3 linked regions of the Nothobranchius furzeri genome follow. The protein of the gene in region 3 interacts with the protein of the main gene of each other region in a pairwise test. Links are inferred from orthologs where the notes say so. Each region holds a gene or a part of one and is shown on either strand. Other genes may lie near its edges.

Evidence for each region.
Region 1: the proteins of bag4 (region 3) and unkl interact in binary tests that used the Homo sapiens proteins (3 or more experiments, as listed by UniProt). The link is inferred for Nothobranchius furzeri from reciprocal best matches to the Homo sapiens genes BAG4 and UNKL.
Region 2: the proteins of bag4 (region 3) and alg13 interact in binary tests that used the Homo sapiens proteins (3 or more experiments, as listed by UniProt). The link is inferred for Nothobranchius furzeri from reciprocal best matches to the Homo sapiens genes BAG4 and ALG13.

The regions. Positions count from the first base shown.
Region 1 is NC_091745.1:4,010,610-4,016,925, reverse strand, and holds the start of unkl (putative E3 ubiquitin-protein ligase UNKL), read left to right. Parts: upstream 1-2,646; 5' UTR 2,647-2,876; coding exon 2,877-2,941; intron 2,942-3,561; coding exon 3,562-3,771; intron 3,772-6,316. UniProt on the Homo sapiens protein: May participate in a protein complex showing an E3 ligase activity regulated by RAC1. Ubiquitination is directed towards itself and possibly other substrates, such as SMARCD2/BAF60b. Intrinsic E3 ligase activity has not been proven.
Region 2 is NC_091746.1:29,406,236-29,412,551, reverse strand, and holds the start of alg13 (putative bifunctional UDP-N-acetylglucosamine transferase and deubiquitinase ALG13), read left to right. Parts: upstream 1-2,246; 5' UTR 2,247-2,257; coding exon 2,258-2,377; intron 2,378-3,028; coding exon 3,029-3,112; intron 3,113-6,316. Other genes in the region: aars2 (alanine--tRNA ligase, mitochondrial), read right to left, coding at 495-707. UniProt on the Homo sapiens protein: Catalytic subunit of the UDP-N-acetylglucosamine transferase complex that operates in the biosynthetic pathway of dolichol-linked oligosaccharides, the glycan precursors employed in protein asparagine (N)-glycosylation.
Region 3 is NC_091757.1:36,773,901-36,777,500, forward strand, and holds the start of bag4 (BAG family molecular chaperone regulator 4), read left to right. Parts: upstream 1-1,295; 5' UTR 1,296-1,468; coding exon 1,469-1,555; intron 1,556-1,969; coding exon 1,970-2,089; intron 2,090-2,243; coding exon 2,244-2,465; intron 2,466-2,601; coding exon 2,602-2,871; intron 2,872-2,988; coding exon 2,989-3,423; 3' UTR 3,424-3,600. UniProt on the Homo sapiens protein: Inhibits the chaperone activity of HSP70/HSC70 by promoting substrate release. Prevents constitutive TNFRSF1A signaling. Negative regulator of PRKN translocation to damaged mitochondria.

The DNA.
Region 1 (6,316 bases), on a different chromosome or scaffold from region 3:
GTGTGTGTGTGTGTGTGTGTGTGTGTGTGTGTGTGTGTGTGTGTGTTGCTGTGAAAACATTGGTAAAGTGTGACAGGTTAGGTAGGTGGAGGAAGGATTTAATGCAAACATCATTTACACTTTTGTGTTTCTGAAGGTCAGATCTTTACTTGCGGAGCAAAAATGTTGGATTTGGCATTGTAATGAATTTCAATTCAATTCAAGTTTATTTATATAGCGCCAAATCACGACAAGAGTCGTCTCAAGGCACTTCACATAATAAACATTCCAATTCACAGTTCATTAAGCCAATCAGAAATAATGTTTCCTATATAAGGAACCCAGCAAATTGCATCAAGTCACTGACTAGTGTCAGTGACTTTACAGCAATCCTCATACTAAGCAAGCATGCAGCGACAGTGGAGAGGAAAACTCCCTTTTAACAGGAAGAAACCTCCAGAGGATCCTGGCTCAGTATAAGCAGCCATCCTCCACGACTCACTGGGGATGGAGAAGACGGAGAGCACACGCACACAAACACACACACACACACACACACACACACACACACACACACACACACACACACACACACAAGTAATGTGTCTATAGTTATATTGTGATGTCTTAGTAAATACTAGAAGTTCAAAGAAATCTAATCTATTTTACTTTACCACTTATTGCTCTACAGATCTATTTAAAATTTTACTGAAAATCACCTAAAAAGCCATTTCTACCATTTTCTGAATTCCAGTTAACAGTTTAGAATATTTGTACTTTTTTTTTTGTTTTTTTTTTTGTTTTTTACTTAAAAGAGCAGATAGAGGTACTTAGGTTCGTTTAGAAAAATGACGTATTTGCATCTTCTTTGACAGAATGGCAGACTGCCCTGATGCCCGGCATCTGTAGTGGTGAGTACATCGCGTTGTTTGTTGTCCAATAGCAGGCACAGTTTGAAAGACAACCGTAGATCCCGCCCCACGACTGAGGGCTGTCAATGGACTACATGTTCAGATATACAGGACGGCTTGCCAGGCTAGAACATCCATGTATTAAGATTGTTACCTGCATGTGAGTGTATTAATCAAAAACTGAATAAATGACAAGCATGTTACAGTTGGGAAGAAAGACAGGACCAAATAAGAATCCCTGCATGTTTCCATCTATTGGTTAAAAATGCAATAACTGTCTGTGGAACAAACGTGAAATACAGAGTTTCTACTTCAGATGTCAGTTGTTGTCCATCAATAAAAATGTATATACTGCCCCTGACCAAAAACACTCACCACTTGTATTTAACTAAGCAGATAGATATAAACCTCCTATTGGATAATTAATGCATGAGTGGTTATCTTTAAGCTGGCAACAAGTTACCCCAACTGGTGCAATGAGTTGCTTCTCCTTTCTTAAACAACCATGTGGAAAGACACATCTGGTGGCTGTGGGAAAAGATGTTAGCCTGTGTGAGAAGGGTCAGATCGTTGGCATCAAGCAGAGAAATCACCTAAGGAGATTGTAGAAATGACTAAAACGGGGTTAAGAACTGTCCAACGCATTATTAAAAACTGGTCTGATGAGGCCAGATTGACCCTGTTCCAGAGTGATGGAGCATCAGGGTAAGAAGAGAGGCAGATGAAGTGATGCACCCACCATGCCTAGTGCCTGTGGGGGCAGTGTTATGATCAGGGGTTGCTGCAGTTGGTCAGGTCTAGGTTCAGCAACAGGATGTGCTCCGAGAATGAGGTCAGCTGACTACCTGAATGTACTGAATGACCAGATTATTCCATCAATGGATTTGGTCTTCCCTGATGACACGGGTATATTCCAAGATGACAATGCCAAGACTCATTGGGCTCAAATAGTGAAAGAGTGGTTCAGGGAGTATGAGACATATATTTCACACATGGATTGGCCACCTGAGTCCAGACCTTAGAGGTGCATTATGTAGAAATGAAGTAAAAATTACATCCTGTGGTAAAATTTGGTTACTGCAACCACTTTAAACAACTCTGGAGCTTTTTGCAATGACTGAAACATTAGACTCTTTTGGGGTTTTCTCACTGTAAAATTCTCAATATATTCTTACACACTGCGCCTTTCACCCCACTGATAATCTTTGGGATGCTGGAGAAGATATTGTGCAGCAGTCAGACTCTACTATCATCAATGCAAGATCTTGGTGAAACATTAATGCAACACTGGATAATAACAAATCTTGTGACATTGCAGAAGCTTACTGAAACACTGCCACAGTGAATGTGTGCCGTAATCAAAGCTGTCCAACAAAATATTAGTGACCTTTTAGTGGGTGGTGACATTTTTTGGGCTGGACAACTTGCATGTAGGCATTTTATTGTGTTATGGTGATTTGAAATGAGTTCACACACATTGTTTGCTAGCCTGCAGACAAACAAATTTCTGTCATTTTGAAGATTTCGACTGATAAATGTCCAGATAGAATATGGTACTCACTTTACGCTAGTAAAAAAAAAGTCCTGGAATGCTGAGAGGTAAAAATTTGAAGCACTGGTGTACACCCAGTTTTTGATTTATACAGCTAATTACTACATCTTCTGTAGTCTATGCAGGAATTAGCAGAACTTAGCATAGCAGCTTGGGACATTTCATATTTCCTCCAAAGTAACCGCTTTTATGAAAGTGCCTTTTGCATGAACCACTATAAAAAAACTCAGATATTACAGAAATGTGTATCTCAAAATCAAGTAGAACACCAGCGTGTCGCAGTATTTGGGATGGAATTTCCTGTCCAAAACAATATAGAGAGTTTTAAAGTCTAAAGTCTTGATGTGTTCGACGCCCCCCAACATCCGTGTGTGAGCTCTGTGGTGCTGTTATGTACACCCGTGCGCATGCGCAATTCATTGTTTTGACTGAAAATGCCGTCGGTTTCGAAAACGGCGGCCAATGCGTCTCCTCAAACCGAGAAACCTACCCACTATACGTGAGTAATGCTGCTGCACACAAACAACAAAAGCTCTCGTTGCAGAAAATGCGAGCTGCACGCGCGCTTCTGTGCGTTAGCATTTGTAGCATTCCTCAACTCTCGTGTGTGTGTGTGTGCGTTAAAAATATGGTGCTTTTCCTGGCTTTGTGACTACCTTACGTTAACAACGACTGCTAACAACACCAGAGCTGAGGCAGGAAATACGAACTCGTTAATTCATTTAACTGCTAAATAATATGCAGTCGGAGTCGTTGTGTTTGTTTGAGTAGGTTGGAGGACGGTTTCTAATCGTGTATTTAATGTTATGCCGTTTTCTTTGTCTGCTAAATGATTAGCCAGGAACTCGCTAACAGCCTGCTGCTTGTAAATAGCTCGGCCTTCTTTAAGTTCCTTCTTTCTACGCACGTTTATGGACGTACGCCCAAAGCTTTGCACTTACCGTTACGCGAGTAAGTGTGCATAGTTTGCGTTCAGAATAGCACACCAACGTCAGTGACCCAAAATATATAGAAGGAAACCAAACAGCAGCGGAACACGACACCTCTTAGCTTAAAGCTATTTTAACCTCACCGCGTGACCCAAGCTTGTCTTATTTTTATTCTTTTTCGCTTTTTCAGATACTTGAAGGAGTTCAGGACAGAGCAGTGCCCGTTGTTCCTCCAGCACAAGTGTACGCAGCACAGACCCTTTACTTGCTTTCATTGGCATTTTCTCAACCAGCGACGAAGGCGACCGATCAGAAGGAGAGACGGGACCTTTAACTACAGCCCCGATGTCTACTGCACCAAATACGACGAGACCACGGGCATTTGCCCGGATGGAGATGAGTAAGTCCCCGTTACAGTAGACGTGATCCACATTAGGCAGCTGGAGGACATAAATAATCAGTCATGCATCGTTTCTGCTCACATACTCGTCAGTGGTTAACTTGTGTTTAAACGTAAAAAGGTTTAGAGATTTAGATCATGACCTAAATAAACTTAGTTAAACTTTATTTGATTGATGAAAGTGGATTTATTTTATTAGGGGTGAAAATCTGGTGAATTTATTAATTTATCACTTTTTTAAATTGACGTAGTACAGAAGATAACTTTTTCATTTGAGGCAGTGGATTAAAAAAGTAAAAAAAAAACAATGGTCATGATTTTGTCGCTGCTTTTTTTTATTTGTAAAATGGGCCAAATAGTCAGTATGTGTGGTTTTGATTTGCTGCAATTGATAAGATATTGTTGTGTAGACATGTTCCACACAAATCTAACAAATCTAGAGACGTTTATAAAATAGTTTTAAATGTATAATAAAGGTTAGACACACATTCATTCTGGTTTTGAAAGCTGATGGTGATTCCCAGTTTTTGTTCAGCTACCAACTTTAGCCCGTTTGGATAGACTTGAACAAGTATAATTAACAAAATACTTTATTGTTCATTCTGATTAACTTGAAAAGTGATGATCTGAGAAGCAAAAACATCAACAATAAAAACACGTTGATGCTAGTATGACACAGCAATGGAAGCTGTTACAGGAGACGGTTATTTTGAATAATTGCCTGGACTGTGTTGCATTTTCAGCAGAGACATTATTTAAAAGTGAGGACACATGCTGACGTTTAGCAGTTTATTCAAATATCCTTTTCACTGATTAACTGTTTTTCTTTTTTTAGCATATATGTTTTACACTCATTGCTTGCCATGCTTGGACTACAGCTACAGAATGATATAGCAGACATTTTTCTTGGAGGCATCATTTATTTCAATTATGTTTTGTTTTCCTCTCAGTATTTCCTTTGTTTTTCTCAACATTTACAATCACTGTACTTTTCTTTTTTATGTTTCTTTTCTGTTTATTTGTGGCACCATCATGTAAAACATATCCTTAAGATTTTTAAGGGCGTGACGGGGTATTGAAAATAAAATCTCATTTAATTGGGTGCAAGGGGATGACCTAGAATGAAATATTAAACTAACAGTTGAGCAGCAGTAAACTGCAGCCCTCACAATTGCTCCTCTGCTACAAAGCTATTTTTGTGTTGCTATAACAACTGTTGCTCAAGAAAGGAAAATTGTCAGCTTACTATTCATACGTTTCTTGAAGCATTTGGTTTCAGCTCCGCAGCTTGTGTGAAATTGTATGTAATGATTTGTTACATCTTAAGTAATGACCCATAAAATGTGAGATTCCATAGGAAATATTAAATCAATTTGGTGGATCTTTGAATATTACTTTAACCAGAAGATCGGAACTTTTTATTGCAGGGATTAGGGAACACTTCGTATTAACCCAGAGACGAGAGAGAGAGTCGAGTTTTAAAGTTAAAGAAGATTTATTTCTAAACAATTTAAAGAAGACTAACTTTAAACACCAGGTGTATGATGTAACTAAAGCCTGATTTATGCTTCTCCGTCTGCGTCAGTGCGGAGACACGCAACGCCATTATCCGTCCTTGCGTAGGGCACGCAAGGACGTACGGAGTCGAGCCCACTTTTTTAAACATCCGTCGAACGAGACGGATTACGCAAGCTTGTGATTGGTCAGGATGCCGCTGTTGTTTACAGCGCCGCCATTGCAAAGAGAGCCGAGGATAACTAGCGGCAGACACGGAGAAGCTTGAAGAATATCTCGCGAAAAAACTCTAAAAATATGAACGTTTAGTTCTCCCGTGACTGGAGGAGTTTTATTAGTGGACGGAAATGACAGGAAACGTGGGTTTAGAGGTGGGGAGCGCATGAAGAGGTGGGAGAATGAGAGACAAATATATCCGTGTTAAAACTCTCTTATATACACAAAAAACACAATATAAACACACGATCTTGGACCGATACATGACAGGATACCACAGAAAAGCGCTACGCCCTCTGTTGTCCTGCCGGGCAATTGCTTTGCAACACTCTCCAGGAGACGGAGAAGTAAAAGAGCAAAACGCTTCCGTCAATCCGTGCGTGTCTGTCCCTTGCGGAGCTGACGGAGAAGCATAAACCAGGCTTAAGGTGGAGTAATACTGAGGATGGTGTGTGTGTGAAAGAAATATGTTCAGAACCAGCAAATCCGGAGAGACTATTAGTTCTGATGGGAGTGAAAGGGTGTTTCGCTCTAAGCTTTGGTTTGGAGATTATAACACACGTTGAGACGCCATCTGTCCGTCTACGTACTCCAACAGAAGTTCCCGTTTAGATCCGGAATGTCGGGGGTCCAGCTTGGAACCGACGCCTGTAGATATGCAGCGGTTGCCGACCCTTCCAGTCTTGAGTTACTCCCAGTTCACGTCAGTTTATTGGCATCAGCGAGACCCTGAAGGGGTCGTGATGGGTCAGCTTTTATTCTGAAGGAACCGTTGCAGTAGGTGGAACATGCAACAGGTTTAATCCAGCTTGTC
Region 2 (6,316 bases), on a different chromosome or scaffold from region 3:
GGATAACAGCTGATCATATCAGGGTAACAGCTGATCATATCAGGGTAACAGCTGATCATATCAGGGTAACAGCTGATCAGGATAACAGCTGATCATATCAGGGTCACAGCTGATCATATCAGGGTAACGGCTGATCAGGGGAACAGCCTGCCTCCTGCTTAACTGTGTTTTTGACCAACTCAACCAGTTTAAATTAAGCTGTGATTTTAGTCATCTTCTGCCAAATACCCACCAGAGTGACTAACTGGTGCCTGCACTGATCTGGTTACGGGGTCATTTATGCTGCAGCTCCAATCGTAAAGATGCTTTTATTCACTGATCCAAAAGCAGAACCCCGGTCTGGTTCTGCGGTGCTGCTAAAGGTGAGGGATACTTTATTTGTTTTATTTTGGAGTGTTAATAAAGTTAAACAGAACAACACGACTCGTTAAATGTCCAACTGGACTCTTATTTTGAAAGACTCTCCGACTGACTGAACCGGACCACAAACCAACCTGGTTCATACCGGCGTTCACGAACAGCAAGCTCGGGTCTCCTCTGGGTCGGACGGGAGAAGACGGAACCAGAATGTGTCCGTGGCTCTCCTGGAAGAAGTCCAGGAAGGTCTTCCGGACCTGCGCGGCAGGAAACAAGGGCGGAAACCCGCTGAGAGAGCGCACCGAGGCGGCAGAGAGCGGTCGGAACCGCCGCAGGACTGACTCCAGCATCTGGATCACAATCTCACAGAGCCAAACCAGACCCGAACCATCTCAAGGTGTTTTGGGGGCGCATGCGCGCAGCTGTCTTCTTCTACGTACATATTATATGTCGTAAATGTTATGCTGCCACCTGGTGATCACATTTGGCTGCTGCAGCTGAGAAAGCCACAGTACATGCGCGCGCACGATTTGAATAGATAAAAATACAAAAAAACATCTGTTATTATTATTAGTATGTAGATTTGTATGTCTGTGTCTTTAATGCTGTTTCTCCTTGGAAACACAATTCTTTATTTTAATTCATTTATTTTCGTTTGCTGAAGTTACATCATGGCCAAATGTGTATTTAACTAGCTGCCTTAACGAGTTACCTTCACCACTGGTCTCTCTCTCTCACTGTATGTGCGTGTGTGTGTGTGTGTGTGTGCGTGTATATATATACCATAGACTGTACATATACACCACACACACACACACACACACACACACACACACACACACACACACACACACACACACACACACACACACACACACACACACACACACATTTATATATATATATGTATATATATATATGTATATATACGATATATATACATACATATATATGTATATATACATACATATACATATATATATGTATATATATATATATATATGTATATGTATGTATATATACCGTATACACACACACACACACACACACACACACACACACACATATATATATATATATATATATATATATATATATATATATATATATATATATGTATATATACGGTATATATACATACATATATATATGTATATATACGTATATATACATATATATGTATATATACCGTATATATACATACATATATATACATATACATATATATATGTATATATACATATATATATATATATATATATATATATATACATATATATATGTATATATACATATATATATATATATATATATATATATATATATATATATATATATATATATATATATATACATGTGTGTGTAGTATATACACACACACACACACACACACACACACACACACACACAAGCAGGACAGCAGACAGGAAGTATATATTTTAGAATCTCCAGGTACAAAAAGTAAACCCGTGTGAGGGTCGCGAACACATCTGGAACAAGACCTCTAACATCTGGATCTGTCAGCGCTGTAGTAAAAAAATAAGTACAGTTTATTTAAATTGCACCTTTCCCATTAACAGGCGCTTCAAAAATAGACCAGAAATTTAAAATTAAATGATAAACTCGGTTCTGGATCTTTCCAGGAGCTGGAGATGAAGCTGAAACTGAAGCAAATGTTCTCCTCAGCTATCCTGGGTCCTCCACTGAATCATAAGTTCGGTTCTGTCTGACAGGTTGTCCAGTCCGCTTCTGTCCCAGACTTGGTGGGTCCCTGAACGCATCTCGCGCGCTCGTTAAACCTGATTAAACTCACCTGCTGGCGCCACGGAGGCTCGCGCGGCTTTCACCGGAGGATACCGGCTGTTCCGTGGAGTTTTGTTCGGCTCGTTTCGGCAGCGGCATGCAGAAAGGTCTGAAAAAGTACTTCGTCAACATGGACGAGTACCTGTCCAGTTTGGGACTCTACCGGAAGATGGTGGCGCGGGACGCGTCCAGTCTGTTCCGGGCCGTGTCTGAACAGGTGAGGCGGGGTAACGCGGGGTTCGTTGCGGTTCCGACAAACGTGTTCCTCTGTCCTTAAGGCAAAATGTCCAGCTCTACACGCACATGTGATGTGAGACCTGCAGGGCCGCTCACCGCTCTCTCTGACTAGTTCCGAGTAGCGGCTCGGTTCCGGTGACCGGTTAGCCACTCTGCAGCAGTGGTACCCACACTCCTGCTTCAGACCCCGTCTCTTCAGAAACTTATAAAGCGGAATAATTCAGGACAAAACGAAACTCGTCCGCTCAGGTTTACTTTTATGACTGCAGTTGAGTTTTTGTAGCTTCAGCAACTGTTTTTCTTTTAAAATTTGCTTTATGGACTGGAAACAAGCCTAAGACCCCCAGTGAAGCTCCTGGCGATCCCCAGTGGGGTCACGACCCCGGCTTTGGGAACCCCTTTTTTGGAGTAAGCAAATCAGTCCAAAACCGAACAGAATGTTTGGATCAACCTGTGGATTTAGTCCTTTTGGGGGCCGAGGTGACACCTTAGACCTGACCCCCATTTATGTGATTTATTTGTGTGTGTGTGTGTGTGAGATGGTGGTTGGGGCAGGGCTGCTCAGTAGACTCATGCTGATAACCCAAACCCGGGCCATCCCATCTGACCCGCTGTTCTGCCTGTGCTGCAGCTGTATTACTCCCAGAACTACCACCAGAAGATCCGACAGGACTGCGCTGACTTCATGAGGACCAACAGGTGCAACTTTGAACCGGTGAGCAGAATCTAGATGGGTTTAGTCCAGTGATGACTAGTTTTGTTTCTGTTTAGTTTACTAGGAAACCCAACATCCGGTCCAGATTTCCTGACCTCATCTTTCCAATTTCCTTCCCAGCTGACAGTTTGGTTGTGGTCCAGGCCCGGTCCAACAGACAATGAGGCCGATTTTTGGCCTGACCCTTTAACATGATGTGGAATGCAGGTCCTTCTCAAAAAATTAGCATATTGTGATAAAGTTCATTATTGTCTGTAACGTACTGATAAACATGCATACAGTGGGGCAAAAAAGTATTTAGTCAGCCACCGATTGGGCAAGTTCTCCCACTTAAAATGACAGAGGTCAGTAATTTACATCATAGGTACACTTCAACTGTGAGAGACAGAATGTGAAAAATCCGCACATGGCAGGATTTTTAAAGAATTTGTAAATCAGGGTGGAAAATAAGTATTTGGTCAATAACAAAAATTCAACTCAATACCTTGTAACATAACCTTTGTTGGCAATAACTGAGGTCAAACAATTACTATAGGTCTTTACCAGGTTTGCACACACAGTAGCTGGTATTTTGGCCCATTCCTCCATGCAGATCTTCTCGAGAGCAGTGATGTTTTGGGGCTGTCGCCGAGCAACACAGACTTTCAACTCCCTCCACAGATTTTCTATGGGGTTGAGGTCTGGAGACTGGCTAGGCCACTCCAGGACTTTCAAATGCTTCTTACGGAGCCACTCCTTTGTTGCCCGGGCGGTGTGTTTGGGATCATTGTCGTGTTGGAAGACCCAGCCACGATTCATCTTCAAAGCTCTCACTGATGGAAGGAGGTTTTGGCTCAGAATCTCACGATACATGGCCCCATTCATTCTGTCCTTAACACGGATCAGTCGTCCTGTCCCCTTAGCAGAAAAACAGCCCCAAAGCATGATGTTCCCACCCCCATGCTTCACAGTAGGTATGGTGTTCTTGGGATGCAACTCAGTATTCTTCTTCCTCCAAACACGACAAGTTGAGTTTATACCAAAAAGTTCTACTTTGGTTTCATCTGACCACATGACATTCTCCCAATCCTCTGCTGTATCATCCATGTGCTCTCTGGCAAACTTCAGACGGGCCTGGACATGCACTGGCTTCAGCAGCGGAACACGTCTGGCACTGCAGGATTTGATTCCCTGCCGTTGTAGTGCGTTACTGATGGTGACCTTTGTTACTGTGGTCCCAGCTCTCTGCAGGTCATTCACCAGGTCCCCCCGTGTGGTTCTGAGATTCTTGCTCACCGTTCTCATGATCATTTTGATCCCACGGGATGAGATCTTGCGTGGAGCCCCAGATCGAGGGAGATTATCAGTGGTCTTGTATGTCTTCCATTTTCTGATAATTGCTCCCACAGTTGATTTTTTCACACCAAGCTACTTGCCTATTGTAGATTCACTCTTCCCAGTCTGGTGCAGGTCTACAACTCTTTTCCTGGTGTCCTTCGAAAGCTCTTTGGTCTTGGCCATAGTGGAGTTTGGAGTCTGACTGTTTGAGGCTGTGGACAGGTGTCTTTTATACAGATAGAGTTCAAACAGGTGCCATTAATACAGGTAACGAGTGGAGGACAGAAAAGCTTCTTAAAGAAGACGCTACAGGTCTGTGAGAGCCAGAGATTTTCCTTGTTTGAAGTGACCAAAAACTTATTTTCCACCCTGATTTACAAATAAATTCTTTAAAAATCCTGCCATGTGAATTCATGGATTTTTTTTTCATTCTGTCTCTCACAGTTGAAGTGTACCAATGATGTAAATTACTGACCTCTGTCATCATTTTAAGTGGGAGAACTTGCACAATCGGTGGCTGACTAAATACTTTTTTGCCCCACTGTAATGGATTCATTCCACACAACTGAAGTAGTTCAAGCCTTTTATTGTTTCTAATATTGATGATTTTGGCGTACAGCTCATGAAAACCCAAAATTCCTATCTAAAAAAATTGGCATATTTCATCCGAACAATAAAAGAAAAGTGTTTTTAATACAAAACAATTCAACCTTCAAATAATGATGTTCAGTTATGCACTCAATACTTGGTCGGGAATTCTTTTGCAGAAATGACTGCTTCAGTGCGGCGTGGCATGGAGGCAATCAGCCTGTGGCACTGCTGAGGTGTTATGGAGGCCCAGGATGCTTCGATAGCGGCCTTAAGCTCATCCAGAGTGTTGGGCCTTGCGTCTCTCAACTTTCTCTTCACAATATCCCACAGAGTCTCTACGGGGTTCAGGTCAGGAGAGTTGGCAGGCCAGTTGAGCACAGTAATACCATGGTCAGTAAACCATTCACCAGTGGTGTTGGCACTGTGAGCAGGTGCCAGGTCGTGCTGAAAAATGAAATCTTCATCTCCATAAAGCTTTTCAGCAGATGGAAGCATGAAGTGCTCTCAAATCTCCTGATGGCTAGCTGCAGTGACCCTGCCCTTGATCAAACACAGTGGACCAACACCAGCAGCTGACATGGCACCCCAGACCATCACTGACTGTGGGTACTTGACACTGGACTTCAGGCATGTTGGCATTTCCCTCTGCCCAGTCTCCCTCCAGACTCTGGCACCTTGATTTCCGGATGACGTGCAAAATTTGCTTTCATCCGAAAAAAGCACTTTGGACCACTGATAACAGTCCAGTGCTGCTTCTCTGTAGTCCAGGTCAGGCGCTTCTGCCACTGTTTCTGGTTCAAATGTGGCTAGACCTGGGGAATGCGGCACCTGTAGCCCATTTCCTGCACACGCCTGTACACGGTGGCTCTGGATGTTTCTACTCCAGACTCAGTCCACTGCCTCCGCAGGTCCCCCAAGGTCTGGAATCGGTCCTTCTCCACTATCAGGGTCCGGTCACCTCTTCTGGTTGTGCAGCGTTTTCTGCCACACTTCTTCCTTCCCACAGACTTCCCACTGAGGTGCCTTGATACAGCACTCTGGGAACAGCCTGTTCATTCAGAAATGTCTTTCTGTGTCTTACCCTCTTGCTTGAGGGTGTCAGTGATGGCTTTCTGGACAGCAGTCAGGTCAGTGGTCTTACCCGTGATTGCGGTTTTGAGTAATGAACCAGGCTGGGAGTTTTTAAAAGCCTCAGGAATCTTTTGCAGGTTTTTAAAAGTTAGTTGATTCAGATGATTAGGTTAATAACTCGTTAATAGCTTTTTGAGACAGGAATTTTGGGTTTTCATGAGCTGT
Region 3 (3,600 bases):
ATGATATTTTCTTCTTCTTCTTCTTCTTCTTCTTCTTCTTCTTCTTCTTCTTCTTCTACAACTTTGGATAAAAATCAGATTTTTTTAGCACTATAGCATGCTTGCTGGGTCTAGCCCTTTGACTCCAGACAACCATCTATACATAAATACAGTTTTAAATGTTTTTAGCTAAATAATGGGAGAAAAAAGACTTTTAGAGTAGCTCCCCTATTGCTAACAACATCCCATTGTATTTTTTAAACAATTTAAAGTTATTTGTACTGAGTAACTATTGTAACTGTATGAATATAGTTCATTTTTGTATTTCTACCGTTCATCCTTCATGTTCATTTTCCCAAGAAGACAAAAACAAAGATTACGTCGTTTTTCGGGTTTAACTGAACTAACGTGTAGTTCAATCTTCTTGCCACTGGAGGGCGCTCGCTCCCCATCTCCCAATCTCTTTCAAAAGACTTGCTGTGTCTAGTTTCTAATTCCATTTTTAGTTGTTTTTTTATAACCTTGCTGACAGTTTTGTTTGCCGACTGCTAATGTTTTACAGTCGGCAAACGAAACTGTCAGCAAGGTAAAAAAAAAAAATAAAATAAAAAACATTTTCTGTGTTATAAAAAAGAACTAAAAATGGAATAAGTGTAGTTCTAGCTTGATGCCACTGGACGGCGCCAAAAACCCTCCTCGTTCAGTGTAAAAGTTTGTAGCGCTGTAGCTAACCAGCTAACTTAGCCCTTGGACTCCACACCATTCTAAGTACAGTTTTACCTTTAATTCTAGCTAAATAATGATCGAAAAGACTGTTAGAGTGAGTGACACGGTCTATATGTCTGTGGTTGCTGACCCCAAAATGCGAATTTACAGAAATATTTCTAAGTAACTATTGTTATTTTATAAATATAATTATTTCTACTCTTCATCCTTTATATTAATATCCTGAAGACAATATTATGATTTTTAACAAGTTAATATTTTAAAAACACTTTAGTGTCGCATTTAATTTCACAAAAAAATTATATTTGTTTTCATTAGTGGTTGGGTTTTTCATTTAGACAAAGATCGTATATCGTGGGAAAAATTAGTTTTAGTCTTAAAATTTATGAATGAGATTATATTTCCAATCCACTTGCATCGTAACCACTCCTTTGATGTCATAGTTGTGATAATTTTAGTTTTAAGAAATGTTTATTTGATCGTGGCAATGCTGACCCCGCAGTAACGTTAACACTATCAGAAATTGGCATCGGCGTGAAGCATCTCAATATTTGACGAATCTCTGTTTTAAAGAGACAGGCTTGGGTTTCCCCTAGCCTCGCGTCATTGACTCATTTCCTGATTTCAATCAGACGATTTGTACTTCTGAGTAGAAACACCTTGGACTTGCTGGTGTTTTAGACCAGTAACTCTTATCTTATTAAAGGTTTATTTATGGAAAATGCTGCTCAAGGGGACTGCGGATGGGGAATGCGCGTAGCTGATGCACCAAATGCATTCAAATCTTAAACCAGACTGGCCCTCTACTTGTAACTCGGAAAATCAGCACGGAACCTGGAGTAACAACATGGTGAGTAGACGAAAACGACACAGATAAGTTCAACGGCTACAATAAAAAGTTCATGAGTTTATTATCGACTAAAACCGACTTCAATTAGTATATAAGTCATACCGGAAGCGAGTTAGCTAGCGTTGCTCGTGTTAGCGGAGTGGCTAACTTGGCTAGTTGGCGTTATGTAATAGCACGAGCTAGTTAAGCTAACTGTTTTTATATTTTCAGCTTGATAATAAATCTTTTGAGACACCAAAATTTCAGCGGCAGTGATGTTTAATTTATACTTTTTGTATTTATTTATCGTCCCTTCAAGGATACACAGCCACGTTGAAAGAAGAATGTTGACTCTAAAGTTAATTGTTGGACTTAAAGATAATGTTTGGGGTGTTTTCTTTTATTAGTTATAAAAAATATCTCTTGTGTTAACAGGATTCTCCTCAGTATCCAGGATATGCGTCACATTACTGGTATCCACAGTCTCATTCCACTGGGCACTATGCAAACACCTATCCCTCTGGATCAGATGTTCAGCAGCAGTACAACCCACAGGTACAGCTCCTTGTGCAATACAACCTATCCTCTCTAAGCCACAGCTAATAGGATGATAGGTCAATAGAATCCTTGGTCTTACCTAATATGTTTATCTTTATGTTAAGTACATTTTTTTTTACTCATTGCGTCTCTTATTTTGTTGTTCGTGTAGCTGATGCCTGGAGGATATCCAAATGGCCACGGAGTTTACAGCCCTGCACAAAGTCAGTATTCAACAAGCAGTTTCCACGCATCAAACCCCTTCTACTGTGCTGACCATCCAAGAAATTCTTATCCCAACCAAGGCTGTGCTACAGAGCAGGGTAGTGGGGCTTCTGGGCCACCATACCCTCAGCACCAACACCATCACTATCCTGGCCCACACTGTCAAGGCGTGAGTGGGTTTTTGCAAGTTTTCACATAGCTAGTAGATGCCAGGTGGGAGATCAACCCTAAATGTAGCCAGTACTGGTAGAAATATGACTAGAGTATTGTTTGGAAAACAAGTGGTTTGTTTCTTTTGCCCTCAGGGTCCTGGATATCCTCAAGGGCATTATTCACACTACAGTGAAGGTGGACATGCAGTTCCTCCAAATCCACCATATCCCACTGGGCAGCCTCCCCATCCCACCTCTCAGGCTGAAGCTTGGGGTCACTCAGGTCAGTATGCTCCATCACCACAACAGTGGCAGCATGGACAGCAGCCTTCACAAAGTCCCTATGGTAACCCTGTCCGACCGCCACATCCCCCAGCGTGGCCTGGTACTGGAACTGGTGCTCCACCACCCTATCAGCCTAAAGTAAGAGTCCGCTGCTTTTTCTCTGTAGTTTGTGCATTTTGCTTTTTCTTTTTTAATCAAACAAAAATGACTTAAGAGCCGGGAATTTAATCAGGTAAATTCCACTTTCTCTTCTAGGACCAGCGCGCCCCTCATGTGGGACCGAAACCCCGACCAGCACTGTCTCCAAATTCAACCAATGGAAAGCCTGCTGAAATAAGTTCGCCTCCCCAGATTTACAACAAGAATGGGAGAAGCGATCCCAACCCCTTACAATCTGAGACTCCACCAGCTCCTGGTCCTGCCGGACCTCAGCCCCTGAGCGACAATCCTGGGCTTGCTAAAGTCCAGCAGGTTCTGGTCAGAGTCCAGCTGCTTCAGGAAGATGTTGATGAGTTTGTCGGCAAAAAAACTGACAAGAGCTACCGGTGTCTAGAGGAACTGTTGACCAAAGAGCTGCTGGAGCTAGACTCTGTGGAGACTCAGGGACAGGAGAGTGTTCGTCAAGCCCGGAAAGAGGCTGTTCAGAGAATCCAGACCATTCTGGACCAGCTGGAGAGGAAAGCTTTCTGAACTGGACTTCCTCTATTTCCCCATGGGTTGCTGTCTTTTCCTTTTTCAGATCTTCCATGGAATAATTGAAGGTTCAATCTTCTTCTGTAAAGGTGTAATGTTGTTTTTTTTTTCTCCCACCTCAATGTTATAAAATATCTTAGACATGAAACAAACAACAAGGTGGAGCAGTTATCC